Anolis sagrei: one gene and its partners. The main gene of each other region encodes a partner of the protein of the gene in region 3 in a complex. Links are inferred from orthologs where the notes say so. Each region holds a gene or a part of one and is shown on either strand. Other genes may lie near its edges. The genes, in order: GINS2, CDC45, MCM6 and GINS4.

Region 1 (7,098 bases), on a different chromosome or scaffold from region 3:
ACTAGCCATAAAGATCCTTTGAAACCTCAACATCTTCTCAGGCTTAACCAACCGCCATGGACAAAACGTACATTCTTTGTATTAGGCATTATTGCTGCAGATGGAATGATGGCTGGAATGAGCATCAGATTACTGTATAATGTATTGTTGAAGGCTTTCATAGCCAGAATCATTGGGTTGTGCGTTTTCCAGGCTGTATGGCCATGTTCCAGAAGCATTCTCTCCTGATGTTTTGCCTGCATCTATGGTGGGCATCTTTAGAGGACCTCCTCTTTAGAGGACCTCACAACCTCTGAGGATGCCTGCCGTAGATGCAGATGAAACATCAGGAGAGAATGCTTCCAGAATATGGCCATACAGACTGGAAAACTCACAACAATCCAGATTACTGTATACTTGATCCATCACTATCAAACTGAATGCGGTTTCCTATGTCACTTTTTTTTGTATAAGAATTGAAATCCTTGCACTCTCTTTGGCCATTTCTCCCCAATTATATTTCTGCTAGATTTGCCCCCTCCTAAAAAAAAAGCCTGAAAGTTTGATTCCAACCTTAGCATTGATTCTATCCATTGCTGGACTGGCATGTTTTATTGTCATTGGAAATAATAATGTTTTCCAAGTCTTGGGAATATTTATAAAGCATCATGATTTGTTATGCATTTAGAATGTCCTGTTTTTTTGTGAAATATTTTATTATTTTATATTATTTTATTTATTTACTAACGGGTCCCTGGCGTTGCCCGGGGTATTTTAAAATGTCATTTTGTAAAATTGCACAAAATGCATAAGGTTGTAGGTTAACTGCAACAGACATCATGCCAACTGATTGAGAATTTTTATTTTATTTTATTTATTTCAAACAATTCTCAATCCCCAAGGGGGGACTCAGGGCGGCTTACGCCGGCAACAATTCGATGCCAACACACAATATAGCAAGAGAACACGATTAAAACATTGATTAAAACATTAAATATAAATAGGCAGTTAAAACATTATTAACAATAATATGGGCACATCCAAAATAGATTCAACATTCAGGGACTTAGTTCATTATCAGTTCACTTACTTAGGCGATCCCTCGTTTTCCGAGGAGGATTGTCTTCCAGTGTTCTTGTGGGTCCGTATGTGGCTGTGGAGCCCTATTCTTGCTCTGCATCTTCTTCCGCACTGAGGGCATTGGTTTCCAGGCGGAAGGCGGTCTCAGTCGGGGTTGGCTTGACGCGCCTTCCTCTTGGCACGCGTCTCCCTTTCGCCCTCTTCAAATTCTGCAGCACTGCTGGTCACAGTTGACCTCCAGCTGGAGCAGTCAAGGGCCAGGGCTGCCCAGTTCTCAGTGTCTATGCCGGAGTTTTTAAGGTTGGCTTTGAGCCCGTCTTTAAATCTCTTTTCTTGTCCACCAACATTCTGTTTTCCGTTCTAAGCCTGCTGTCCAAATGCCTGGTCCCACAACCACGATTTGAGCTTTTTCCTGAAGGAAAGGAGAGATGGCACCAACCTAATTTCACTGGGGAGTGAGTTCACAGGCGGAGGCCCACCACCAAGAAGGCCGTGTTGCACAAAGCGTGTTTTAGCCAAGTCCCATGCAAAAGACACACAAACAAGAGGGAAAAAGGAACATAAAAACTTTACTCTTAGCAGCAGAGGTGGAGCCCCCGGTGGCACAGTGGGTTATTGATTGATTTATTTAAAACACTTATATTCCGCCCTTCTCACCCCGAAGGGGACTCAGAGCGGAGCACAGCATATACATGGCAAACATTCAATGCCTGGGTACAATACATAAACATTAAAAAACATTTATCTAAATATTAAAATACACCATTTAAAATAACACAATTTAAAACCGTCCTAGCCATCCGCATCAAATCCAATTGGCTCTGTCATCTTTCCCATTGTCGCTTCATTGTCCTGTCCCGAAAGCTTGGTCCCACAGCCAAGTTTTTACCATCCTTTTAAAGGACAGGAGGGAGAGGCCGACCTGATCTCACCAGGAAGGGAGTTCCATAGCTGGGGAGCAATCACCGAGAAGGCCCTGTCCCTTGTCCCCACCAATCGCGCCTTTGACAATGGCGGGACGGAAAGCAGGGCCTCCCCGGAGGATCTTAATCTCTGCGATGGTAGAGGGAGATGCGTTTGGACAGGTAATTTGGGCCAGGGCCGTTTAGGGCTTTAAAGGCCAAAGCCAGCACTTTGAATTGTGCCTGGTAGTAAACTGGCAGCCAGTGGAGTTGGCGTAACATGGGAGTTGTATGCTCCCTGTATGCCACCCCAGTTATTAACCTGGCTGCCTCTCGTTGGACTATTTGAAGCTTCCGAGCAGTCTTCAAAGGCAACCCCACATGGAGTGTGTTGCAGTAGTCTATTCTAGATGTAACGAGAGCGTGGACCACCGTGGCCAAGTCTGACTTCCCAAGGTACGGGTGCAGCTGGCACACAAGTTTTAATTGTGTGAACGCTCCCCTGGCCACCGCCGAGACCTGGGATTCCAGGCTCAGTGATGAATCCAGGAGAACTCCCAAGCTGCAAACCTGTGCCTTCAAGGGGAGTGTGACCCCATCCAGCACAGGTTACGACCCTATACCCTGTTCGGCCTTGCGACTGACCAGGAGGACCTCTGTCTTGTCTGGATTCAACTGAACCAAACTTGGCGTGAATGGTCAGTATGGCTAAATGTGAACACTGGTGGAGTTTGGGGAAAATAGACCTTGACGTTTGGGAATCTGAATCCCACCAATGATAGAATTGGGCCAATAGTAAAGAATAGGGAAGGGTTAAGGGAAAGGCAGTGGGGGAGGGGGTCATGCAATTTCCACATCAGTGGAGAGAGTCAGAAAAACTGGGATGTCTGTGGTGGAGGAAACACATAAAATCTAGGAGCAAATTCTCCTTGTATGATAGCCTTCATTTGGGTGAGGGACAGGATGGTGTTTGTGGAGGACATTGGCAGGGCTCTTGGACATGTTGATGGTACTCACTATAACCTTCAATGTCATTGGCCTTTGATGTCTCCTGAGTAGTGGGAGCTATAGTTTGCTGAGGCTGGACCTTGCCTGTGTTAGTGGACACCCCAGTCGCATACAAACACATACAGATTTTCTCTTTTATTGTGTGTATAGAAGATATTTTATTTTATATTTTATTATTTTATTTGATACTATTTTATATTTAATTTAATTTAAATTTAAATCTTATTTTATATTTTATATTTTTTAAATTTTTATTTTATATTATATTTATTATTTATTAATATTTATTTATTAATATTTATTTATATTTATATTATTTATATTTATTTATATTTATTTATATTTAATTCTATCTATCTATCTATCTATCTATCTATCTATCTATCTATCTATCTATCTATCTATCTATCTATCTATCTATCTATCTATTTTTAGAGGCATCCGAAATACAGACTAATCACCTCTAGAGCCAATAAAGTGCAACACAGCTTCAAAATATAGCGTTACCCAATCACAGCAAGCCTCCAAGGAATGAGCCAATCAGGAGACGGGGCGAGAGACCCTCCAACCAATAGACATCGCTCGTAGGCGGGGCTAAATTCCATGCGAGAAAATAAGACAACATAAGTTAAGCATTAGTGGGCGGGGTCTTCCCTGTTTCTCTGCCTCTCAACCAATGGCAGCTATGATTGTCTGCTGTAGGAGGAGATATGCAAAACATTGAGCTTCTCATTGGGTTAAGAGTGGGTAGTGGGCGGTACTTTCTCTTCCCATCCAATAGGAAACGCCAGGAAAAGCGGGAGGCTTTCAATATAAGCTAAAAGCAGCGGGTGGAGCAGTGGGCGGGATTTAGCTCTTGTTTTCTACCAATAAAAATCGCGCTTGAGGAAAACCCAGGCTTTTCATTGGATAGAAAAGTAGTCAATCACGTTATTCCCAACCAGTAGGATGTACGGCTTTCTCAGGCTTGGAATTAGCGCGGGAAAGAAAAGAAACCAATTCGCGGTGGGCGGGGTTGGCTTGAGTTTCCCAACCAATAGCAGGTGCGCGGGACCAAAGCGGGGGGTTTCATTGGGCTACGGAAATGATTGCTCGCGTTTCCGACCAATAGGAAGCGGAGATGCCCCAGGAGGCTGAGTTGAGGCTGCATTTTGCCATGGAGGCCGCGGAAGTGGAGTTCCTGGCCGAGCAAGAGCAGGTCACCATCATCCCCAACTTCAGCCTGGACCGGATCTACCTCATTGGGGTGAGTGAGGCGACGAGGAATTTAGGAAGTGTTAAAAGCCCCCCAGAGCTTGGCTTGAGCTAATATTGGCAGACTGCAGCTCCCATCATCCCCAGAAAGTGGTGTAGGAAGCGTTAAAAGCCCCCCAGAGCTTTGCCAGAGCTAATTTTGGCAAACTGCATCTCCCATCATCCCCAGACAGGGGTTTAGGGAGTGTTAAAAGGCCCCCAGAGCTTTGCCAGAGCTAATTTTGGCAGAATGCAGCTCCCATCATCCCCAGAAAGGGGTTTAGGAAGTGTTAAAAGCCACCCAGAGCTTTGCCAGAGCTAATTTTGGCAGACTGCAGCTTGGGGAGAAAGTTCCAGAGTCGGGGGGCCACCACAGAGAAGGCCCTGTCCCTCGTCCCCACCAATCGCGCTTGCGACGTGAGAAGGGCCTCTCCAGATGATCGAAAAGATCATGTGGGTTCGTATACAGAGATGCGGTAAAGCAGGTAGACGGGTCCCAAGCCGTTTAGGGCTTTGTAGGTAAGCACCTGCACCTTGAATTGGGACCGGAAAATGAATGGCAGCCAGTGGAGCTCCTTAAACAGGAGGGTTGACCTCTCCCTGTAAGGAGCAGCAGTTAACAACCTGGCTGCCGCCCATTGGGACCAGTTGGAATTTCCGGGCCGTTTTCAAGGGCAGCCCCACGTAGAGCGCATTACAGTAGTCCAATCTGGACTCTATCCAGCTTTTGCTGCTGCTCAGAAACTATACTAGCTGGCTCCGGAATGGCAGCTGTAGTGCACAAAAAGTAACTCCCAAGTTCTGGGGTTGATAATGAGGTATAGAATAGGCATGGGCAAACTTGGACCCTCCAGGTGTTTTGGACTTCAACTCCCACAATTCCTAACAGCCTACAGCTTTTGAAGTCCAAAGCACCTGGAGAGTCCAAGATTGCCTATGCGTAGTACAGAAAGAGCATGAGGGAGAACCTGCCGGAGGAAGACTTGTCCCTTATGCAAGATTTGTAATTCATATCTTGAATCCCTGGAAAACAGCTGCACATTCCAGGACGATGCCGGAACCAGACCTAAAGTGACTTCTTCATGCTTTCCCTTTTGTAGGGAGACCTAGGTCCCTTCAATCCTGGGCTTCCTGTGCAAGTTCCTCTCTGGCTGGCTATCAACCTAAAACAGAGGCAGAAGTGCCGCTTGATCCCTCCCGAATGGATGGATGTGGGTAAGGAAGACCTTTTCTCCTGTCTTAGGGTGTGTCTATTCCAGTCATGGGCAGATGTCAGTCCTCCAGGTGTTTTGGACTTTAACTCCCACCAGAGGCGGCCCTAGGTAATTTTCAACAGTAAGCAAACAGTATTTTGGCGCCGTCCCCCGTCCCCCCCAACCAATCATTGATATATATATTCTGTTCGTCGTGGGAGTTCTGTGTGCCATATTTGGTTCAATTTCATCATTGGTGGAGTTCAGAATGCTCTTTGATTGTAGGTGAACTATACATCCCAGTAACTACACTTGCCGCACTTGCTTCCTTGCCTGGCCCGCTTTGGGTCTGGAGGCGTGCCTGAAGACCCCGGCGTGTGCACCAAAAGTCACCTCTTCTCCTGACTTTCTCCTCAGCCATTGGAACCAAGAGAGAGAGAGGTGGAGATGCCTACCTTTCCTGAAGGTAGGCGCAAAAACAAAGGAGGGAGTGGAGGTAAGAGATACCTCCAGCCAGTGGGGCTCTCTCTCTCTCTCTCTTGGTCCCAATGGCTGAAGAGAAAGTCAAGAGAAGAGGCGACTTTTGGTGTGCACGCTGGGGTCTTCAGACACGCCTCCGGACCCGAAGCGGGCCAGACGAGGCGGCTCCGCCCCTTGGCCCACCCGTGGATTGGGGAGAGGAGAGGAGGCGGGTGGAGCGCCGGGGGATCGGGGAAGGGATCGAATGCAGAGAACGATTGAGCACCGGCTCTGCTCACGCACCCGGTGGCTGGGTAGAGCAGGAACGAGAGGGGCTAGGCGAGGCTCAAGGGCCCGGCCCCTTTGGGAAGAGGATCGCCCGGCAGCGAGGCAAGAAAGCCGAGGCTCCCCCGGACTGCTAGGGCTGTTGTGAGCTGAGGGGGCACTCCTCAAGTGGCGGTCGAGGGGCATTTACAGAGGCGCCTCTGCACCCCTGGCAAAAAAAAGTGTTCTGCGACCGCTTACTTCGCGAGCCGCCCCTGACTCCCACTATTCCTAACAGCCGGTAGTGTGATGAATAAATGATGTATGGATTGAATGGAATTGTATGAAAGCTGTATGGACCTATTGTTGGAAATAGCAGCCTTCTGCAAGCCCCCTATCCTAGTTTTTTGTTATGTATATGATTGTTAACCTATTTATTTATTTATTTCATATATTTATATCCCGCCCTTCTCCCCACAAGGGGGATTCAGCGCGGCCTCACATAAGCATCAGAGGATGCTAACAGCATAAATACCATAAAAATTACAATTCACAATAAAATCATTTTAAAACATTATACAACATCATCAGTAAAATCTATATAAATAAAAATGTAATGTTCGTTTGTGGGATTAACAGAACTCAAAACCCACTGGACGAATTGACACCAAATTTGGACACAAGACACCTAACAACCCAATGTATGTCCTTCACTCAAAAAATTGATTTTGTCATTTGGGAATTGTAGTTTCTAGGATTTATAGTTCACCTACAATCAAAGAGCACTGTGAACCCCACCAACGATGGAATTCAACCAAATGTGGCACACCGTTCTCCCATGACCAACAGAAAACACTGGAAGAGTTTGGTGGGCAGTGTTCTTTGGTTTTGGAGTTGTAGTTCACCTACATCCAGAGATCACTGTGGACTCAAACAATGATGGATCTGGACCAAACGCTACACAAATACTCAATATGCTC
Region 2 (7,998 bases), on a different chromosome or scaffold from region 3:
CGCTAGAAATAATATCCCACAAAAGCTGACTGGCACAACCTGGAGATCACAACCAGACACAGTGAAGACACCTGCCCTTGTGTTTTGCTACTCTGCCACTGAATACGTATGCCTAGTGTGGAATATGTTAAAACAGTGGATGTGAGTCTTAATGAGACATACCACATTACCACAAGATGTCTATGCCCTACACCACTGGAGAAACTATACTATTTAGCTGGTATTGCACCACCTGACATCTGTTGGGAAGTAGCAGCCAATAATGAAAGGACCAAGGCAGTGACATCCCTGGCCCATCTTCTGTACAGATACCAGCCAGCATACCAATGCATTAAATCAAGAAATAGCTTTCTAAGATCTACAGACGCACTCACAGGAACACCTGAGAAAGCAAGAGTTGAAAAGTGGCAGGCTAAAACCCAGAACCTCAATCAGTGGCTGAGACTGGATGAGAGATTCCCTCCTGGGCACACAGAAGACTAGGCGACTTGAAAGGCGCTGAACAGACTGCACTCTGGCACCACGAGATGCAGAGCCAATCTTAAGAAATGGGGCCATGAAGTTGAATCCACAACATGCAAGTGTGGAGAAGAACAAACCATAGATCACTGACTACAATGCAGTCTGTGCCCCACCACATGTTCTGGAAATGACAACCTTCTTCAAGCCTTCTCTAGTAATGTTTATCTATGAACCTGTTGCTTACTGTTTGTATGTATGTTCTGGGCATGTAGCTTCATTTACTCTATGGTTCCTAGAAAAGGGCTGCAAACCACATTATCACTATAGCAAAGAAACAGACTACTTCATGACTACAGACTATTTCAGACCTCAGATCACACACTTGCTTGCTGTTTTTGCTGTAAGATTGTCCTGGCCGATTGGACTAAGGTATGCTGAATGAATGAAGGTTGTGAGTAAACCAAATATGTTATTTTTATCAAAGTCTACTTAATTTTTGTCTTTTGAGTGCATGATATAAAACAAGTTGTTTTATGGGAGAGTATATATATATATGGACAACTAAAAACACTTCTAAAGTTCTGCTGTTTTATGAACTGGCAAAAATATCTATTTTCCTAACAGATCAGAGATAACAGGTTATTCGGTCTAACAGCTGCAATCATTGCCTAGCACAATTACATCTGGTTGTACACCACAAGAGAAGATTCTAAACAAAGGGATTTTTGGCTCTTCCCAAAAGGTCATGCTTTTTTAAAGTTATGATCTCCAAATGGTGTTTTCCAAAAACATGCACCTTCTTACAGTGAAACCAGAGGCTCTCCAAGTGGCCATCTTCTGGTGAAATGAAATCTTGTATAATGCCAAGTTTTTAACTTTGTGTTTTTAATTTAAAATACATTATAACTGTATTCTCAATTCACTTCTGACACAATAAATAAAAATAAATAGCCAGGCAGAAAGGCACACTCATAGCAGCCCTGGATGGCCACCCAGCCTTAGTTCAAAAATCTCCAGAGAAGGAGACTCCAATGGATTCCCAAGCAGTCTATATTTCTCTAGAGAACCCCAAAGGGCATCCAGTCCAACCCCCTTCAGCCAGGCAGGAGGACACCATCAAAGCATGCCTGAGAGATGGCCATCCAGGCTCTGTTGAAAAGCCTCCACTTCAATCCCTACAGAAGTGGAGTGCTGGTGTTATTCAAGTGTGGGAACTGCTAAAACTTTGATCATTCGCAGTTTGTTGATTGAGTGGCAGTAATGAGCACTACAATGGGTAAGTTTCTAATTAGGACAAGAAAATGGTTGCCCCGAGTCCCTCGCAGCTTCTGAGAGTGGGAGTCCCCCTGAGGGAGCTCCCTGGGCTCCTGAGAGCGGGCGGAGGCCTTCCTCCTCCATCATGGCCGCGCCTCAAAGAGGGAGCGGCGGCAGACTCCCGGAGAAAAGCTCCCGCTCACCTGGTTCACAACCACCTCGTAGAACTCTTTGCGGAAGTCCGTTAAGAACATGCTCAAAGGCCGAAGAACCCGCTGACAGGAAGGCGGCAATGGCGTCGGGCGACAAAACTCCTCGGGAAGCTGTCTTCCCCGCTCAAAGGAAGGCGCCAAAACCTTTCCCTTTCCCTATTGGCCGCCACGCTCCGGGCCTCGACCAATGGGCTGTCTCCTCTCTCTCTCTCTTTCCGTGATCTTCATTGGACAAGTTCGAAGCGGGCCCGCCCCGGTACCTGACACCAATCACCACCTGGGCATAGTCAGCCGGAACATTTGCTCAGTCGCCGCACAACAGCCAAGGGCCCTTGACTTCGGCCCCTTCCACACAGCTGAATCCAATCATCTCCTTTGAACTGGGATATATGGCAGTGTGGGCTCAGATAACCCAGATCAAAGCAGATATTATGGGATTTTCTGCATTGATATTCTGGATTATGTGGCTGTGTGGAAGGGCCCTGAGTTCTCGGAGCCCACACTGCTAGATATTCCAGGGCCCTTCCACACTGCCCCTATATCCCAGGATCTGATCCCAGATTATCTGTTTCTCCCAGGTTATCTGGCAGTGGGGCCGCATATACTCCACTTGGAAACAGGTAATCTGGGGTCAGATCCTGGAATAAAGGGCAGCCTGGAAGAACCCCCAGTTTCGAGCAGGAAATGTAGGATTTGATTCCGCGGATTAGGAGTGACGCGGAGCACTTTCCTCTCTCACGGAGGAGGGGGGGGGAAATAATGGCGACTCACAGCCGGAAGTGATGAGACTCCTTCGGGGACTGAGATGACTTGGCGGCGAGGCATAGGGGCGGGTCGGCCCGGCCCGCTCAGCTCAGCTCAGCTCAGGTGAAGAAGACCCAAGCCCAACCTATGTTGTCCTCAGAGGAGTTGCCCGAAACCCCGCCCCTTTTGCTTCCAAGGCGGAAGAGGCCTCGAAGCGCATTCTGGGACATGTAGTTACGAATTCCAAAACACCACTTTGCAAGGCCTTGACGGCCTTCGATGTCTTCCTAAACATTCCTTCGAAAGTGAAGGCGTTTTCGCGGGTCTTTCATGTGGAGCCGGAGTTGTTGAAGGTGTCCCTGGCGGTGAGGCGAGCGACAAGCGGCGGCGCGGAGGCCTTGGTCGGGTCCGAAGCAAGAGAGGCAAAGGAGGAACTCTAGGCCGCCATGGTAAGGGCTTTGAGGCCTAGGCCCTGAGGCTTTTCCGGAGCCTCCCTGCCCCGTCGCCTGCATTGTGACTTCAGAACTGGCTTGGGAGGGGGCGGCGGCTCTGGGATAGGCCTCCTGCTGAGAAAAGTGAAGGAAGCCGCCATTGCTGCCGCCCCCTCGGCCTCTGCCGCCCGAGGCTGCCTTGGGGAGACTTGGCTTTGCTTGGGAGCCACAGTGGAGGGCAGGACAGGGCTCCTGTGGTTGAAGAAGCCTTGTTTCTGGTGACAGGGACATTGGTGGGGTCTTCTTGACTCTTCTTCTTACTCTTTGGGGGGTGGAGGCAGCCTCCATCGCAAGCCTTGTGTTCTTGACAGGACTCTGGGGATCAAGGCCTACTCTAGATTCTTTATATCCTGCATTATCTCTCCATACAGAGACTCAAAGGGACTCACAATACAAAACATGACAACTTTAAATATACAATAACAAAACAGTATATCATATATTATTATAGATGATAAGTTGTAATTATATTTAATATATTAGAATCAAATGACTAACAGTAGTATTTAGCAGCCATTAGTATTTAATTGGTATTAGATGTCTGGATGGCCATCTGTCAGGGATGTTTTGAATGCTATTTTCCTGCTTCTTGGCAGGGGATTGGACTGGATGGCCCACAGGGTCTCTTCCAACTCTATGATTCTATGATATTGTATTATTTGAAACACAACAAGATCAGTCCACAGCAGACAGTCTGCAGACTGTTGTATTGGATCACACGTCGAACACTTCCCAAGTGTTTAGGAATGTGTGATGTATCGGCAAGTAATGCGTGCAGATCCCAGTAAGGTGGCCTTCTGCAGCTGGCAGATGGTAATTTTGTCAGCGCCGATTGTGTTTAAGTGCATTACATAATTAATTACATTATTAATTACATTATTATTATTATTAAGTGTATTACGTTATTATTATTATCACAGCTACATCATGTCTCCTGCAGCATCACTCTGGAGCCCCTCAATATATATAATATTATAATATGTAGAAATAATTACATTGTAATGTAATAATACTTTAAAATGCTATAATATAATATATTGTATATTGTATATACTAAAACTTATAATATAGTACAATGTATTGTAAAATACCAATAGTATAATATACTGATAGTGTATTATATTGTGGTATAATCATGTAGTACGATATAATTATATAATAAGTCTGTATTATATAGTGCATGTAATATTACTAATAATACTGCAGCATAGTGGTACAGTACAATATAATGATGTATAATACTAATATTGTGCTATGCTAATAAAATTATATATATGTAATAATATAATAATACTCTATAGGCCAGACCTGGACCAACTTTTGCTCTCCCTCCCTCCAGGTGTAGTTTTATGAGGCATCCACATTCTTTGGGAGAGAAGGCTCAAGACCTTGGAAAATTACAGCCGCCATGACTTCATAGCATTGAACCAAAGCAATTAAAATGCATTCATACTACAGCATAGATGCACCCCAAGGGTTTCCTCTCAGTCGCTGGAAGCTTTGGTGTCCTAACACTTTTGCTTTGAAAGAAGGAATTCTAAACAGGCAGCAACAGTAATGCACACCTTTTTTGTCCAAATGACAGTGTGCTGCCAGCAAATACTTTTTTTATTTCAGGGTTTTGAAAATTGAGGTGCGCATTAGGGTCGATGGCGCATTAGACTCACATCAATACAGTATATAAACTCATGTACAAGTCTATAGGCTCATGTATAAGTCTAGAAATTGGAGCTAGAACATGGAACCAAAAACTGTGGTCCCTTGGTAGCATCATCATACATATTTGGATGCCAAAAGGAACCTGGCTTTGAGTCCTAGGCCTCTTTGTTTGAAAAGATAGCCTGAGATAATAGAAGGCAGTTTCACATGTATCCATATACTTACTTTTACTATGTTTGGCAACTATAAACTCATATATAGACTCATGTATAAGTCTATATATAATGTATACATCTAGAAATTTTGAGCCATATTATTGACACTAAAAAATTGGATTGCTCGGTGGCAGAGGACATGTTTTCTTGTTAGTAGTATTACTATTCATATACTTATTGTATCTTTGGGAATTATAGACTCATTTATAGACTTATGTGTATCTCTATACATTTTTAATTATTATGTGTATCCATATAGTATGTTTGAGAACTATACATTGATGTATTCATCTAGAAATTTGAGCCGGAACATCAACTCCAAAAACCTGGGTCGGCTTATCCACAGGTCTGTGTACATACTGTAACTCTGATCAAGACAGGAACCTCCCCCTTCTTTGAGTAAGATGGCAAAAGGCAAACACTTGGTCCAACTCAGGGGAACTTCAAAGAATCACCAGTCTCCTGTACTCTCGGCTGCCAAGCTGCTTCTAGACTTACTGAATGTCCTGCAGGGGAAAATAGTAGCGGCAGCACTGGCGCTTTCCCCTCTCTACAGAATAACCCTCAACTTACCCATGGGTCATATCAAAATCCATAATTTTTACCCTCAAACATGTCCTTGACTTATACATGAGTATATACAGTGTATGTATGTGTGTATATACATACAGATACTTGCACACACATGTATGTATGTATATGCACGCACATATATTTTCTTTATAAAATGCAAGTGTAAATAAAAGTACAGTTTCTAAATTCCAGCTGGGTTACAAGAACATCAAATGGGGAAAATGACATTCCTCAGGTAAGGCATAAGGTTGTTATCACTCCACATGTTTAGAGCACTTTGATTCCTCTTTGGCAACTTCCTTTGGAATGCAAAGGCTTGCTTTTTAGTAAGACCTGAGAGCTCTCCAGCTGAGGTTTCTCAATGCCCCTCCTTCAACTGCAAATCACATCCTTCTGTATGATATTAACATGGCAGTTAAGGTGGAATAATCTCACAATAACAGTGGGATGTGATAGGAATCTTCTAAAGGAGTGGGATAAACATTTCCAACTCTCAACCTCAGGAGTTGTTGGGAGTTGTAATTTTGGGGTAGCATGAGCACTCCTGCAGAGAAGGTAAAAGAGCTTGCAAAACAACAACTTCTGTGATTTCATAGCATTGAGACAGGGTAATTCAGGTGGAGTCAAACTGCATTAATTCTACAGTGTGGCTGCATCCCTTGCTTGGCCATGGAACCCCAAAGGGAGACCTTGGGCAATTTGTGCTTTCTCAATGTAAGAGGAAGGCAATGGTCAACCCTCTGAACTAAGAAAATCCAATTTGTCCAATGTTGGAAATGACTTGAAGGCACACAACAATGCTAAATATGCAATATTGATTCGCCGTCTGCTGGTTTGAGCCTCACATCAACCTCATGAAAGAAGGATGTCCAATTAAGCTTTATCTGGATGGAAAACTGTTAGCATCCCCCTCCAATTTATTTATTTATTTATTTACTTCATTTATATACCGCTTTTCTCAGCCCTCGGGTGACTCAAAGCGGTTAACAATAGCAAAAATTCAATGCATAACATCATAAAACAGTTAAAAAATGAATACAATAATAACATAATAAACAGTTAAACATCAATATAACGTCTCATTAACGTCTCAAGTAAAATCACAATCCAATCTCATCCGTTGTTCTGTATTCCTATGTTCATTACACTGCCTATTCAAATGCCTGCTCGAACAACCAGGTCTTCACTTTCCTCCGAAATGCCAATAGGGAGGGGGCCTACTACTACAACAATGTGTTGGACTACAACTCCCAGAAGCCCGCCTGTCAATGGCCATGTTAAGGAATTGTGGGGGTTATAGCCTGAGACATTTTCGGGGTCAAAAGTTCTCTCTTTCTGTCTCAGTATCTTGACCACTTTGGCTTGTCGTGTTCTGTGTAAAGGCCACCCACGTCTTCGAATGCCTTGGCTTATAACTTATTTTGTTCTCCCCAGTTTTCTTTCAACATGTTTGATCATCCGATTCCCCGAGTCTTCCAGAACCGTTTCTCAACTCAATACCGTTGTTTCTCAGTGTCAATGCTTGCTGGGCCTAATGACCGATCCGATGTGGAGAAAGGAGGGAAAAGTATGTGTTGGTTTTTCTTTGGGATGCTCTCTGGAGTGGTCTTCTCTTATGGGACCTAAAATAACAATGAGCTGCAAAGCATTTTTGTCACCTTTGTGGTTACTTTGGGAAGAAGGAGCGGACTGAAAGACATATAGACTGCCTGCCATCTCTGCGGGGGATACGTGAAAAGGTGGATAATAGTGAGCCCTAAAGGACAGGGACTTTTGCCCCAAGACTAGTATAGAGTTTTTTTCCCTCTTTTTACAATATCTTAGACAAGGGAGTATACCATATTATATACAAACCAACAGTAAAAGAAAAATAAATCTATGACATCTTTAAGCATATTTATCATTTTTAAACTTTCCATTATAACTTATACTTCATATACCTCTACTACACACCTTTTATCTACTTATACATATTTTATTTCTTTATTATTATAATACCTCCCCCCCCTTCTCTTTTGTGGCTCCTTCACCATTGATGAATCTATATATATTTTTAAAAGGCTAGTATAGAGTTGAGCTGGAGGACCTAGAAAATGCTTATAATATATTTTTTCAGACCTAGATAAATGAAACGGTACTGTATAGAAAACAACCCCCTGTATATGCTAGGAAAAACAAAATAAAGCAGGAAAAAGTCAACTACACTATTCGTTGCACAAGGTGAGAAGCCAGGATGTCTAATTTTAAGTGTCAATAAGTCATAAATACAGGTTGGAAAGCCATATCACATGGTCAGTGGAGAGTGAGTTGTGTTTATTATACTGCTGTGTCAAGCTCCTTTGTGATAGGGCTTTTATGATGCAACCGTCCCATTTCATTGAGGGAAGC
Region 3 (7,298 bases):
GTGCCCCACAGAAGAACTTCAAAAAGCTAAAGTATGAAAATAGTTTGAAATACACGTGTGTTGCACTCCAGGCATGGAAACACCTATGACCACCGCGCCACACAAAAGTCCAGGAATATAAGCAAACAGTTTATTGTAAAACACATAAAAGCATATAAAAAGCAGGAATAAGAAAGGAAGATATATAATCCCAAAAGGTTTAGCAACAGGTGATAACCAAACAATAATCCAAATGTCTCATACAGTTCCAGAGGTGACAAAGTCCAGGAACAGCCAGTAATCACAGGTACAGTGTGAAGTCCACAAGCAAGAAGGTATAGCTAGTAAAAACTTGCACAGGAGTACATGAACAGGAACATAGAAAACTTCCAGGATATATTAAATCCAAAACCAAGAGTTAACTTGAACCAGGGAAGTCAGGCTTAGCTTCTCACTCTAACGCAGTGTTGCCTGAACTGCCCTTAAGGTAAACAACTTGTTTAATAGACACCCATAAAAGTGTCACATCCCCTGTAAATTTTCTCTACAACTTTCCCATGTAATCTCTCTGAACGACACAATCTATTTTTGGCTCTGATTTGTAAACAAAAACTTTTGTTGATCCCCATAGCTACAGGTGGTTTCTCCTGGAAACCCTCCTTATCATTCAGCTCTTCACTCAGTTCCTTATCTACTGATGCTACTTCTGGCTCTCCTGACTGGCTTTGTGGCCCTGCACTTTCCGAGCCAGTTTCCTCACAAAGAGAACCATCATTTCCCAGACTTGAGGGCCTATCACTTTGTGCCACAAGAAAGCTAACAATCCCCTCTAAATCATCAGTCCCTGGCTGATCTACAACAATGGGTTCTTTTAAAAAAATGCAACCCTATACACAACTGCTATTAACTTATTTAGGCCTAGACATGTATTACTGTGGGTTTCCTTATTTACCCCACTTGGACTTTCCTGCCCATCCTTTGTTGATTTCGGTTATATTTCAGATTAATATCCTTGCAGCAAGCTCCTGGTACCTTGAAAAACATCATTACATACTGATGCCACTCTTTAAAATGTCATTATATGTTCATTTATCTAGGAAGCTTGTCCTAGCTAGTATGAACATATGATATTATATAGTGAATAACTTACACAATGACTGAGCTGACTTTGCTCTCATTTGATCTCCTTTCTTTCTCCTATTAAAATCCCCATTTCCGTGCCCATCTGTTAATATTTTAGGAAAAAACCATTCTTGGGATCTTTTACAACAAAAGCATATTTCATTTATGTTCAACAAAGTAGATTATTTTTACTCTAACAAGCAACCTCCACAGTCTGACCCTACAAGTCCAGCTCTTTGGCTACTTTCACCCATCCTAATCGTTTAGCTTTTAGACCCCTCTCTATATACTCTGGACCCCAATATATACTAGCCAAGTTGTGTGGTAAATGCTGGCAAGGTGTGACGGAATCACATTAATTCAGAGAGAGAGAGAGAGAGAAGGAGATGTATAAAATTATATTTAATATATAATAAGTTAAACATCTAAAATAGACTGGCTTCCCAATCCACACATCCTATTGTGATATGAGAATTAAAATTCTGGTCTCCAGAGTCATAGTCCACCTCTAGCCACTGCTCTACGCTGTCACTCTATTTTATTTCACAGAGAAATTATGCATATTCTTTTTATTGCCTGTCCTAAATAGTAGGTATTTCCTGAGACATGAGGCCTTGATACAAAATGTGACAATAGGTGGCTGTATGTTTAGAGCCATGTCATTCTGATTTTCAGTGGCCACTGCTGTTAATTAAAAATCCTGAGGCAAGAGCTGGTGTGTGCAAATTGTAGAGACTTCGGAAGAGCTATCTGATCAAATGCTATTTAATATTTTGTGACAGAACTCTGTTACAGTTTTATTATACCTTGAAATAAAGGTGGAAGGAAACAAAAGTGTAGAAATTAAGGTCTGAAAAACCACGTGCTTAAGAAATCAGCTTAGCCAACAGACCAGCTGTGAATACTAAACCTTGACATAATCCCAGAAAAAAATAGAATTACTCTTGTTCTTAGTTGTGTTTAGGTTTACTAAGTGGATTATAAGCAGCTGATTACCACAGATTTATTTCTCTTAAATTCAGTTTCCAGGAAGAATGGTTTGTTCAGCTAATCCAACTGGAATCAATCAAATTCAATTACCTTTCCCCATACAGAGCTGGTAATATCGCTGGATAATAATCTTTTTTTTATTTCTGAATGCTTCATCCCAATAAAGTCATTGACTTTTATGCTGAAAGGCTTTTTGGAAAGTCATGATGCAGAACAAAATAATGTTATCGCAAAATTCTTGTCTTGTGTCTATTACTTTGTCACACAGAAGGGACAAATTCTACAAAGCAATATCTTTGTTACTTATACCAACTCTTGCAAAGGTGATAGACAGCCTGTACAAATGGTTCAAGAAGGGTGGTCCTTTCAGTAGGAACCTTTAAGTTGGACCATATTATTGGCTGCAATCCCCATTTGGTGAAACAATATACAGTTATGACAACATCAGATTGCAGTGGTGATATCATTTCACACCTGGCTACAGGGAAATGCTTCTGTAGTTTTCCAATGTCAGTGCTGCAAAAAAAATCTTGAAAATTAAAGATAAGGAAAAAGGGGGCCAGGTTGCCCTCGCCCATAAAAAAGACCATCATAGTTAAAGATTTTTGTTATATCTTAGTTAACAAAAATAATTAACAATGAAGATCTTTTTATGGAGGAAGGCAACCTGGCCACATTTTTCCTTGTCTTTAATTGGCAAGCTTTTTTTTTTTTTTTGGCAGCATTGACATTGGAAAACTACAGAAGCATTTCCCTGTAGCCAGATATGAAATGATAATATCTGCACTGCGATCTGATGTTGTCATAATTTTATATTGTTCAGCCAAATGGGGATTGCAGCCAAAAATATGGTCCAACTTAAAGGTTCCTACTGAAAGCAAAATGAAGCTACTCCATAATTTGCACAACCCTCTTTATGGATCAGGTTGTGGCGCAGCTGGTTGGGAGTCAGCTACATTAAAATCACTACTGGTCATGAGGTCAAGACCAGCCCGGGTAGAAGTAAGCTCCTGACCATTTGTCTAGCTTGCTGTTGACCTTTGCAGACTGAAAGACATTTGCATCTTTCAAGTAGGAAGTTTAGGTGCCGCTTATGCGGGGAGGGTAGTTTAACTAATTTACGATGCCATAAAAAATCTCCAGCAGCATGCAAATGAATAAGGAAGTACTCCATCGGTGTCACAAGTAGACAGTGAAGCGACAACTCCCCTGATAGCCGGAATTCGAAGCATACCCTGATGGAGCTGGAAAGTTAAATAGCCTCTGTGCGTCTGTCACCCCTTCGGGGTCAGAAGGGCGGGGTAGAAGTAAACCAAATAATAAATATGTTGTGTGTCTATGGCATTGAATGTTTGCCATGTATATGTGCATTGCGATCCGCCCTGAGTCCCTGCGGGGTGAAAAGGGCAGGAGCCCCCGGTGGCGCAGTGGGTTAAAGAGCTGAGCTGCTGAGCTTGTTGACTGAAAGGTCACAGGTTCAAACCCGGGAGCGGCGTGAGCTTCCGCTATTAGCCCCAGCTCCTGCCAACCTAGCAGTTTGAAAACATGCAAATGTGAGTAGATGAATAGATACCACTCTGGCAGGAAGGTAACAGTGCTCCATGCAGTCATGCTGGCCACATGACCTTGGAGGTGTCTATGGACAACGCTAGCTCTTCGGCTTAGAAATGGAGATGAGCACCACACCCCAGAGTTGGACACGACTGGACTTCCATGTCAGGGGAAACCTTTACCTACTGTAAATAAATAAATATGGGTTGTTATAGGTTTTTCGGGCTATGTGGCCATGTTCTAGAAGCATCCTCTCCTGACGTTTCGCCTGCATCTATGGCAAGCATCTTCAGATAAAATAAAATAAAAATGCTACACATTTGAGGCATAACAGGCCAGGAGGATTAAGTCAAGGGTTTTAATCTGCCTTTTTTGGTCAACCAGAAGCTAGCAGTTCGAAAGCAGCAATGTAGATCAATTGGAGGAGAGGTAAAAGGCGCCCGTGAAGACAGCACCATTCCCCCACCGTCTCCAATTCTTGTCCTCCGGCTTTGGGGAGGCCCCTTTAAGAAGAACGTCCACAGCCACCCCTCTTCTCTCCGCTTCCTGTTTCCTCTGGTTTGGCGCGAAAAAGTTGCCGGCGTAACATTCGAAAGGGGCGGGGCACCAGGCGCGGAGGCTTCTGATTGGGCGCGGCGCGGGTTGGTGGCGCGAAATCCCTTCCATTCTCCTGGTATTGGCGTGATGGACTTGGCGGCTGCAGGAGAGGCTGGTGCGGCGGCGGGCAACGCGGCGCTCAAGCAGATCCGCGATGAGGTGGCCGAGAAGTGCCAGAAGCTCTTCCAGGACTTCCTCGAGGAGTGAGTGGGCCCTCCCTGGTTTGGGGATCCTGGGAGCTGCAGTCCTCCAGTGCCTCTACCCCAGGTTTGGGCCAACTTGGGCCTTCCAGGTGTTTTGGACTTCCACTCCCACCATTCCTAACAGCCTCAGGCCCTTTCCTTTCCCCCCTCAGCCGCTTAAGCGGCTGAGGGGGGAAAGGAAGGGGCCTGAGGCTGTTAGGAATGGTGGGAGTGGAAGTCCAAAACACCTGGAAGGCCCAAGTTTGCCCAGGCCTGGGGTAGAGGCACCCCTAGTCTATGCTAGTTTGCTAGCATTCATTAAGCATTAGAGCTGCCTCAGTTGTCTGAATGGATCAGTTTCCCCCATTAATGCTTTGTTGTTTTTTCTTCTATACTTGCATTACATCTTGAAAATGTTTTTGCAAAGCTCTTCCCTGAAACACTGCCTTTTTCAGGTTCCAGGACAGTGATGGCGGAGTTAAATACTTGAGAGATGCCGAGGAGTTGATCCGCCCAGAGAGAAACACATTAATTGTAAGCTTTCAGGACCTGGAGCAGGCTAATCAGCAGCTTGCGACCACCATCCAGGAGGAGTTCTACAGGTGAGACTGTCCCAACTTCTTTATTGACCTGCTTTTTGTGTTATCACTAACTTTATCCAAGGTGTTAAGGAACTTGAAGTTAGTAATAGGTTTGTATCTGTGGGAGATACGTTACTGGACTTCTCATGGGAAAAAGCAAACACTACTGAAATGAACTACTTCTGTTGGATGTTGCCATAGAGTCATGCTGGAGGACAGAGGCCCCTTCCACACAGCTGAATAAAATCACACATTTTCCGCTTTGAACAGGAATATATGGCAGTGTAGACTCAGATAACCCAATTCAAAGCAGATATTGTGGGACTTTCTGGCTTGATATATATATATGGCTGTATGGAAGGGCCACAAGTATCAAGTGAGACTGTGGCAAAAAAAAAAAAAAAACAGAATCACCTAAAGCATTTCCTATAGAGGACATATTTTGGCAATGAAAAAAATCCCTTTTAATATTTTTTGCTTCCTTAAAGCAACTTTATGAGATTTTTTTTATTCTGATAAGTGAAATGTCAACTAATCAGGATTTTAAAAAAACAACAAAAAAACTTTGATTTCAGCACATTTTGTTCCAAAAACATGATGTAAAAATAAGATATAAACTATTTATTTATTTATCTCGTTATTTACTTGCAGTATTTATATTCTGCCCTTCTCACCCCGCAGGGGACTCTGGGCGGATATACATGGCAAACATTCAATGCCATAGACACACAACATATATAGACAGACACACAGAGGCTATATAACATTCCAGCTTTTTTCATGAGGGTATTCTGGCCACCACGGGAGCTGTTGCTTCAGGGTCCATTTGTGACACTGATGAAGTACTTCCTCATTCTTTGCATGCTTTGCATGGAGTCGTAAATTAGCCTCCCGCATAAGCGGTACCTAAATTTCCTACTTGACAGATGCAACTGTATTTCAGGCTGCAAAGGTTGACAGCAACCTACAAAATTTGTTGGAAGCTCACTCCGACTCGGGCTGGCTTCAGACTCATGACCTTTTGGTCAGTAGTGATCTTAATGCAGCTGACTCCCAGCCAGCTGTGCCACAGTCCCACCACAGTTCTTTTGAAGTCAAATACATTTGTTGGCTTGCTCATTTAAACTTTGCTAATAAGGTACACTCCCATGCACTTTGATGCCTTTTGAAGAAATTCTTAAGTCTAAAGCCAGAAAAGTTTGTATCACTAAAATCTTGCTTTCGTTTCAGAGTCTATCCTTACTTATGTCGAGCTGTAAGGACATTTGCCAGAGACCACGGAAATGTCCCTCCCAACAAGGACTTCTATGTGGCTTTTCAAGACCTGCCTTCTAGGCACAAGTAAGCATCTCTGAAGATAGTGAGCATGAAGTGTGGTTTCTATTGGGAAGATAAAAGTATTCAGCTTGGCAAGAAGATCCATTGTGAATGCTGGATCACAGTTCAAGGCCTCTGAACATATAGGGCACCAGAGCAGATTGTCCTATTGCTTTAGCTATGTGTGAGGTTTTTTTGTATAGCCTCTCTCTTGTTTATTAATTTTCATGAGTGCTGAGGGTTTTTTTGTTTGTTTTTTGTACATCTTATCTCTTATGTATCCTCCTGTATATTAGCTCCTCTTTTATGGTGGCATGGTTAATTCAAAAGGAGTGATGCCACCTCACGAAACTTTGGGGGCATAATTTCTTTTTTTATGGACAATGCTGGCTCTTCTGCTTAGAAATGGAGATGAGTACCACCCCCCAGATTTGGACTCGACTAGACTTAACGTCAAGGGGAAACTTTTACCTTTATCTTTATATATTCTTTGCCTAGTATTTTAGGGTTAGGTTAAGATCATATAACATTTTAAACTGAAAATATGTGACGACCATATAAGGTTCATAAATGTTTTCTCGTTACTGTGTATGTGAGTGAGAATATAAATGAAAGTCAACAACTCATGTTCTTTGGAACATTGGAACCATCACAGAGCAAAATTTTGTAGGTGTCATCAGGGGCATCTACACTGTAAAATTAGTACAATTTGACACCACTGTAACTGCCACAGTGCAATGCAATGGAACCATGGGAGTTGTAGTTTCCTGAGACAATCTTTGGCAGAGAAAAAAATCATATAAAACTACAACTCTCAGGACTCTATAGCACTGAGTCAGGGCAGTTCAAGTGGTGTCATACTGCATTATTTATTTCTTTTCTTTTTTTGTAGATGCACTTACAAATAATATTATCCACCAATGTAAGCACAGAAGATACCTTCTCATTCATAGCTAAAGAAAAATTATACTTGCCAAAC
Region 4 (7,439 bases), on a different chromosome or scaffold from region 3:
ATACAGCAAGGACGTTGCTACAAAAGAGGAACCCTATTTGCCTGGATAGATTGGGATAGCAGCTCCACACTTGCATAGGAGAAAACCTCACGTAAGAGAGGAATATAATACAAGGAAATAGAATTACATTTAGTAAATAATAATAATAATAATAATAATAATAATACAGGAAGGACGTTCCTACAAAAGAGGAAGCCTATTTGCCCGGATAGATTGGGACAGCATCTCACACTTGCATAGGAGAAAATCTCACTTAAGAGAGGAATATAAATACAAGAAAAATTTAGTAAATAATAATAATAATAACAATAATAATATAGGAAGGACATTGCTACAAAAGAAAAAGGCTATTTGCCCAGATAGATTGGGACAGCAACTCCACACTTGCATAGGAGGAAATCTCACTTAAGAGATTAATGTAAATACAAGGAAATATAATTAAGTTTAGTAAATAATAATAATAATAATAATAATAATAACAATAATAATAACAATATAGGAAGGATGTTCTTACAAAAGAGGAAGCCTATTTGCCCGGAGAGATTGGGACAGCAGCTTCACACTTGCATAGGAGAAAATCTCACTTAAGAGAGGAATAAAAATACAAGGAAATATAATTAAATTTAGTAAATAATAGTAATAATAATACAGAAAGGACATTGCAACAAAAGAGGAAGCCTATTTGCCTGGATAGATTGCAAGAGCATCTCCACACTTGCATAGGAGAAAATCTCACTGAGGAGAGGAATATAAATACAAGGAAATATAATCAAATTGAGTAAATAATACCACTAATAATAATAATAATAATGATACAGGAAGGACGTTCCTACAGAAAAGGAAGGCTATTTGCCTGGATAGATTGGGACAGCAGCTCCACACTTGCATAGGAAGAACGCTCACTTAAGAGAGGAATATAAATACAAGGAAATATAATTAAATATAGTAAATAATAATAATAATAATAATAATAATAATAATAATAATAATACAGGAAGGACGTTGCTACAAAAGAGGAACCCTATTTGCCTGGATAGATTGGGACAGCAGCTCCACACTTGCATAGGAAGAACGCTCACTTAAGAGAGGAATATAAATACAAGGAAATATAATTAAATATAGTAAATAATAATAATAATAATAATAATAATAATAATAATACAGGAAGGACGTTGCTACAAAAGAGGAACCCTATTTGCCTGGATAGATTGGGACAGCAGCTCCACACTTGCATAGGAAGAACGCTCACTTAAGAGAGGAATATAAATACAAGGAAATATAATTAAATATAGTAAATAATAATAATAATAATAATAATAATAATAATAATACAGGAAGGACGTTGCTACAAAAGAGGAACCCTATTTGCCTGGATAGATTGGGACAGCAGCTCCACACTTGCATAGGAGAAAACCTCACTTAAGAGAGGAATATAATACAAGGAAATAGAATTACATTTAGTAAATAATAATAATAATAATAATAATAATAATACAGGAAGGACGTTCCTACAGAAGAGGAAGGCTATTTGCTGGATAAATTGGGACAGCAGTTCCACACTTGCATAGGAGGAAATCTCACTTAAGAGAGGCCTATAAATACAAGGAAATATAATTAAATTGAGTAAATAATAATAATAATAATAATAATAATAATAATACAGGAAGGATGTTGCTACAAAAGAGGAAGGCTATTTGCCCGGATAGATTGGGACAGCAGCTCCACACTTGCATGGGAGAAAAATATCACTTAAGAGAGGAATATAAATACAAGGAAATATAATTGCATTTAGTAAATAATAATAATAATTATAATAATAATAATAATACAGGAAGGACGTTGCTACAAAAAAGGAAGGCTATTTGTCCAGATAGATTGGGACCGCAGCTCCACACTTGCATAGGAAATAGTCTCACTTAAGAGATGAATATATATATATGAATAAATATAATTATATTTAGTAAATAATAATAACACAGGAAAGATGTTCTTACGAAAGAGGAAGCCTATATGCCTGGATAGATTGCAACAGCTGCTCCACCAGACTAGGCCACAGCAACACATGGCCAGGATACAGCTAGTAATAATAATAATAATAATAATAATAATAATAATAATAATGATAATAATATGGTGCAACGTAGCTGGCCATTTACACCTGTGTGTTTTTATGAACCTTGTCATCTCTCTCACCATGTGCTCCAGCTGCTCAATGACGCACTCCACGATTTCCGACTTGCTCTCCAGCAGCTCAGGGGAAAACTTCTCATTCATCCAAGCCTGGAAAGAGACAGCAAAACCTTGGAGATGGCCCAGATGATGAGAGACACCGGTGGGAAGGATTCTGGGAGTTGTAGTGTGCCTAAATAACCAGCCATGCTGTTGGGGGTAGGGGTTGCTTTTGGGAATTGCATTCCATTCAAACAAAAATAATAATAACAACAATCATAATATAGGGTTGTTGTAGGTTTTTTCGGGCTATATGCCCATGATCTAGAGGCATTCTCTCCTGACGTTTCTCCTACATCTATGGCAAAAAAAATTGCTGATGGGGGGGATTCTGGGAGTTGTAGTATTCCCAAACAGAGTTCTACTCCATCTAAATAAGTTATGGGAGGGATTCTGGGAGTTGGATGGGGAATTGTGGGAGTTGCAGTGTGTTTCAAAAAAATGCTGATGGGAGAGGGGATTCTGGGAGTTGTAGTATTCCCAAACAGCATGTCCCACTGATGAGGAAGCTCATGGTAGACAGTCAAATAAAGTGGCCACATTTGGGGAGGTGATTGGGTTGGAGGAGGGGGGTCCTGGGCCTGCCATAATTGAAGGGGAAGTGTCCTGGGAGTTGTAGTTCCCCCAAGGGCCGCCTGGGCTCACCTGCTCCAGGTGTTGGATGAGCTGGGCCGGGGTGAGCACCACTTCCTCGCCCTCTGACTCCAGCCCGGCTTCCTCCTCCGCCTCGGCCATGTTGGCGCCAAAGGGAAGCCCAACACTTTCCCGCCACGGATTCTAATTAGGTGTGCTGACGTCAGCGACGCTGAGGAAAGAAAGAACGGCACTGGCCCCGCCTACTTATGAATATTGCGCGCCAACATGACTCTCGGCCCCGCCCCTTCACATTCTTAAAGGAGCCGGACAATGTAAATATGTCAAGGCCGGAATCACCCACTTGCTGGCCATCCAAACATCCGGGTAACGTCCTTGCAGACGGCCAATTCTCTCACACCAGAAGCGACTTGCAGTTTCTCAATAATAATAATAATAATAATAATAATAATAATATACTGGAGAGAATAATAATAATAAAATATAATACTATAATATAATAATAATAATATACTTGGAGGGAAGAATAGTATTATTATTTATTTATTTACTTACTTACTTACTTTGCTTCTATACGGCTGTATCTCAAGCCCGAAGGCGACTCACAGCGGTTCACAAACAGTAAAAACAGTAGAAACAGCAGTGGTTCCATACAACATATAACAATTGACTTAACACATTATCCATAAATTACCAATAAGCAATTACAATGCACAATTATTACAAAACACAACCGTACCCAATCTTCTCCTCATCCAAGCGTAGTCCAGATTCGTCGTCCATTGTTCCATTCCTATGTTCCATTACCAGATTGCACTAAATTACTCAAACGCCTGCACAAACATCCAGGTCTTCACCTTTTTGCGGAATACCATTAGAGATGGTGCTAGTCTAATGTCCGTAGGAAGGGCGTTCCACAGCCGAGGAGCCACCACCGAGAAGGCCCTATCTCTCGTCCCCGCCAGCCGAGCTTGAGAAGCAGGCGGGATCGAGAGCAGGGTCTCCCCGGAAGATCTCAAAGTCCTGGTGGGTTCATAGGCAGAGATGCGGTCAGATAGGTAGCTAGGGCCGGAACCGTTTGGGGCTTTCAAGGCCAACGCCAGCACTTTGAATTCAGCCCGGTAGCAGATCGGTAGCCAGTGGAGTTGGCGCAACAGGGGGGTTGTATGCTCCCTGCACTCCGCTCCTGTTAAAATCATGGCTGCCGAGCGTTGGACTAGTTGGAGCTTCCGAGCTGTCTTCAAAGGCAACCCCACGTAGAGAGCGTTGCAGTAGTCTAAACGGGATGTAACCAGAGCGTGGACTACCGTGGCCAAGTCAGACTTCCCAAGGTATGGGCGCAGCTGGCGCACAAGCTTTAGCTGTGCAAATGCTCCCCTGGTCACCGCCGAAACCTGGGGTTCCAGGCTCAGTGATGAGTCCAGGGTCACACCCAAGCTGGGAACCTGCGTCTTCAGGGGGAGTGCGGCCCCATCCAACACAGGCTGTAACCCTATGCCCTGTTCGGCCTTGTGACTGACCAGGAGTACCTCTGTCTTGTCTGGATTCAATTTCAATTTGTTCGCCCTCATCCAGACCGTCACAGCGGCCAGGGACCGGTTCAGGACCTGGACAGCCTCCTTATTATAAGAGGCCTCATAATTTAAGATCTACTGGGGAGGCCCTGCTCTCGGTCCCACCAGCGTCTCAAACGCATCTGGTGGGGACGAGGGACAGGGCCTTCTCGGTGGTGACCCTCTGCTTGTGGAATTTGCTCCCCAGCGAGATTAGATTGGCATCCTCCCTCCTTACTTAAAGGAAAGGAGCCCCTGGTGGCACAGTGGGTTAAACCCCTGTGCCGGCAGGACTGAAGACCAACAGGTCACAGGTTTGAATCCGGGGAGAGGCGGATGAGCTCCCTCTATCAGCTCCAGCTCCTCATACGGGGACATGAAAGAAGCCTCCCACAAGGATGATAAAAACATCAATTCATCCGGGCATCCCCTGGGCAACGTCCTTGCAGACGGCCAATTCTCTCACAACAGAAGCGACTTGCAGTTTCTCAAGTCACTCCTGACATGACAAAAAAAATTGGAAGGAATTACCTACTTGCTGGCCATCCAAACATCCAGGTAACATCCCTTGGGTAAAGTCCTTGCAGATGGCCAATTCTCTCACACCAGAAGCGACTTGCAGTTTCTCAAGTCACTCCTTGACTGGGAGTTTCGGCCTGGACTGCTACCAATATGCAGACGATACCCAACTCCTTCTGCGCCTGGAGTCTGGAGCAACGTCAATTCCAGACAATTTCACCCGATGTCTGGAAGCTCTGTCGAACTGGCTACGTGCTAGCAGACTGAAGGTGAACCCGGCGAAGACTGAGATTCCCTGGCATGGCCGCCCGGCAGGTCTGACTCCTCCGTTGCCCACCTTCGATGGTGCCGCCCTCTCTCCATCGACCACTCTTAAGAGCTTAGGTGTCATCCTGGATTCACAGCTGACAATGGAAGCTCAGGTCGCTGCTGCCACTAAACAGGCCTTTTTCCATCTACGACAAGCGAGGCAACTGGCACCCTCCCTATCTGGCGAGGCTCTGGCAATGGTCATCCATGCTACGGTCACATTTAGGCTGGACTATTGCAACGCCCTGTATGTGGGCCTTCTGATGTCTACGACCCGAAAGCTCCGTATTGTTCAGAATGTGGCAGCCAGGCTACTCACAAGAACGCCCATGAAATAATGCCATATCACACCAGTGTTGCGGCATTTGCATTGGCTTCCAACCAATTACCGTGGTCTATATAAGATGCTAGCTCTGACCTTTAAAGCTCTTTACGGCCAGGGTCCATCGTACCTTAGGGACCGCCTCTCCTTCTCCCATCATCGGAGGTCGCAACGACCATCCCAACGTGACTTACTCCATATCCCGGGTCCTAGAGAAGTGCCCTTGGAAAGGACCAGGCGCAGGTGGGCTTTCTCTCTTTCTGCCCCTCCTGCCTTATTGTGGCATTCCTTGCCGCCCTACATGAGAGCCATGCGTGACTTAGGGCCTTTTACTCTAGCACTTCAGACACCTGGCTTTTCACTAGAGCATTCGATCTCTGTTGATTTTTAATTTTTGTATGTATGTATTTTATCTTTTGTAATTTAGCTCTAAATCGCCCATAGCATTCTCGGATGGAGGGCGATTAATAAGTTATTAAATGATGATGATGATGATGACACAACAAAAAAAAATGGACGGAATCACCCACTTGCTCGCCATCCAAACATCCAGGTAACATCCCTTGGGTAACGTCCTTGCAGACGGCCAATTCTCTCACACCAGAAGCGAGTTGCAGTTTCTTAATAATAATAATAATATAGGTAAAGGTAAAGGTAGTCCCCTGACATTAAGTCCAGTCATGTCTGACTCTGGGGTGTGGTGCTCATCTCCATTTCTAAGCCGAAGAGCCAGCGCTGTCCAAGGTCATGTGGCCGGCATGACTGCATGGAGCGCCGTTACCTTCCCGCCGGAGCGGTATCTATTGATCTAGGTACCGCATCTCCATTTATGAACCCACACGCTCGCTCCGGTCATCTGGGGAGGCCCTGCTCGTGATCCCACCTACGTCGCAAGCGCGCTTGGTGGGGACACGGGACAGGGCTTTCTCTGTGGCGGCCCCCCGACTTTGGAATGCCCTTCCAAAAGAGCTTCGTCAGGCCCCTACTCTAGCAGTTTTCAGAAGGAACCTAAAAACTTGGCTGTTCCGATGTGCCTTCTCAGATTAGGAATCCCCATCCCAAGTCCTAGAAGCACTTTAGCACAACCAATGTTGCTGCACACCGCACTTTTAATCCTACGTTCCTCCTGCCATCTCAGCACTTTTAACCCTGTACCCCATTGCGCCGGCCGAACCAGTTTTAATAGTGTCTTGATGTATTGATGTATTGTCATTGTGGTTACTTTGCTTAATTGTTTGATTTGCTTTGTTTATTGTTGTGTTATGTTTTCTATTGTATTGTGTTTTGAGGCTTCGGCCCGTGTAAGCCGCATCGAGTCCTTCGGGAGATGCTAGCGGGGTACAAATAAAGTTAATAATAATAATAATAATAATAATAATAATAATTGATCTACTCACATTTGCATGTTTTCGAACTGCTAGGTTGGCAGAAGCTAGGGCTGACAGCGGAAGCTCACGCCGCTCCTCGGAATCGAACCTGCGACCTTTCGATCAACAAGCTCAGCAGCTCAGTGCTTTAACCCACTGCGCCACCGGGGGCTCCAATAATAATATATTGGAGGGAATAATAATAATAAAATATAATACTATAATATAATAATATACTTGGAGGGAAGAATAGTATTATAAGAGGCCTCATAATTTAAGATCTACTGGGGAGGCCAGGCCCGTAGCCAGGATTTTGTTTTGAGGGGGGGGGGGCTGAGTTTGGTTCGGGGGGGCTGAGTCTGAGTGAAAGAGGGTCCAGCAAACCTTTTGTATCATTACCCCAATACCCCCCATGCATATGGGATATATTGAGTATGGTGATCAGATCAGGATATGAATAAACATAACAATTTAAATAATGCACCAGTAAGGCCTTCTCGTGGACCACCATCAGAATTTCGGGGGGGGGGGGACTGAAGCCCCCCA

The links.
Region 1: MCM6 (region 3) and GINS2 share a complex: the UniProt entries of both Homo sapiens proteins name them as parts of the CMG helicase complex. The link is inferred for Anolis sagrei from reciprocal best matches to the Homo sapiens genes MCM6 and GINS2.
Region 2: MCM6 (region 3) and CDC45 share a complex: the UniProt entries of both Homo sapiens proteins name them as parts of the CMG helicase complex. The link is inferred for Anolis sagrei from reciprocal best matches to the Homo sapiens genes MCM6 and CDC45.
Region 4: MCM6 (region 3) and GINS4 share a complex: the UniProt entries of both Homo sapiens proteins name them as parts of the CMG helicase complex. The link is inferred for Anolis sagrei from reciprocal best matches to the Homo sapiens genes MCM6 and GINS4.

The regions. Positions count from the first base shown.
Region 1 is NC_090028.1:24,665,685-24,672,782, forward strand, and holds the start of GINS2 (DNA replication complex GINS protein PSF2), read left to right. Parts: upstream 1-4,077; 5' UTR 4,078-4,089; coding exon 4,090-4,215; intron 4,216-5,302; coding exon 5,303-5,417; intron 5,418-7,098. UniProt on the Homo sapiens protein: Required for correct functioning of the GINS complex, a complex that plays an essential role in the initiation of DNA replication, and progression of DNA replication forks.
Region 2 is NC_090034.1:34,185,936-34,193,933, reverse strand, and holds the start of CDC45 (cell division control protein 45 homolog), read right to left. Parts: upstream 3,008-7,998; 5' UTR 2,754-3,007; coding exon 2,700-2,753; intron 2,659-2,699; exon of another isoform or gene 1,971-2,658; coding exon of another isoform or gene 1,920-1,970; intron 1-1,919. Other genes in the region: UFD1 (ubiquitin recognition factor in ER-associated degradation protein 1), read left to right, coding at 3,119-3,121, 7,045-7,177. UniProt on the Homo sapiens protein: Required for initiation of chromosomal DNA replication. Core component of CDC45-MCM-GINS (CMG) helicase, the molecular machine that unwinds template DNA during replication, and around which the replisome is built.
Region 3 is NC_090021.1:213,785,215-213,792,512, forward strand, and holds the start of MCM6 (DNA replication licensing factor MCM6), read left to right. Parts: upstream 1-4,282; 5' UTR 4,283-4,326; coding exon 4,327-4,442; intron 4,443-4,876; coding exon 4,877-5,023; intron 5,024-6,232; coding exon 6,233-6,343; intron 6,344-7,298. UniProt on the Homo sapiens protein: Acts as a component of the MCM2-7 complex (MCM complex) which is the replicative helicase essential for 'once per cell cycle' DNA replication initiation and elongation in eukaryotic cells.
Region 4 is NC_090027.1:4,071,029-4,078,467, reverse strand, and holds the start of GINS4 (DNA replication complex GINS protein SLD5), read right to left. Parts: upstream 3,012-7,439; 5' UTR 2,965-3,011; coding exon 2,875-2,964; intron 2,281-2,874; coding exon 2,194-2,280; intron 1-2,193. UniProt on the Homo sapiens protein: Required for correct functioning of the GINS complex, a complex that plays an essential role in the initiation of DNA replication, and progression of DNA replication forks.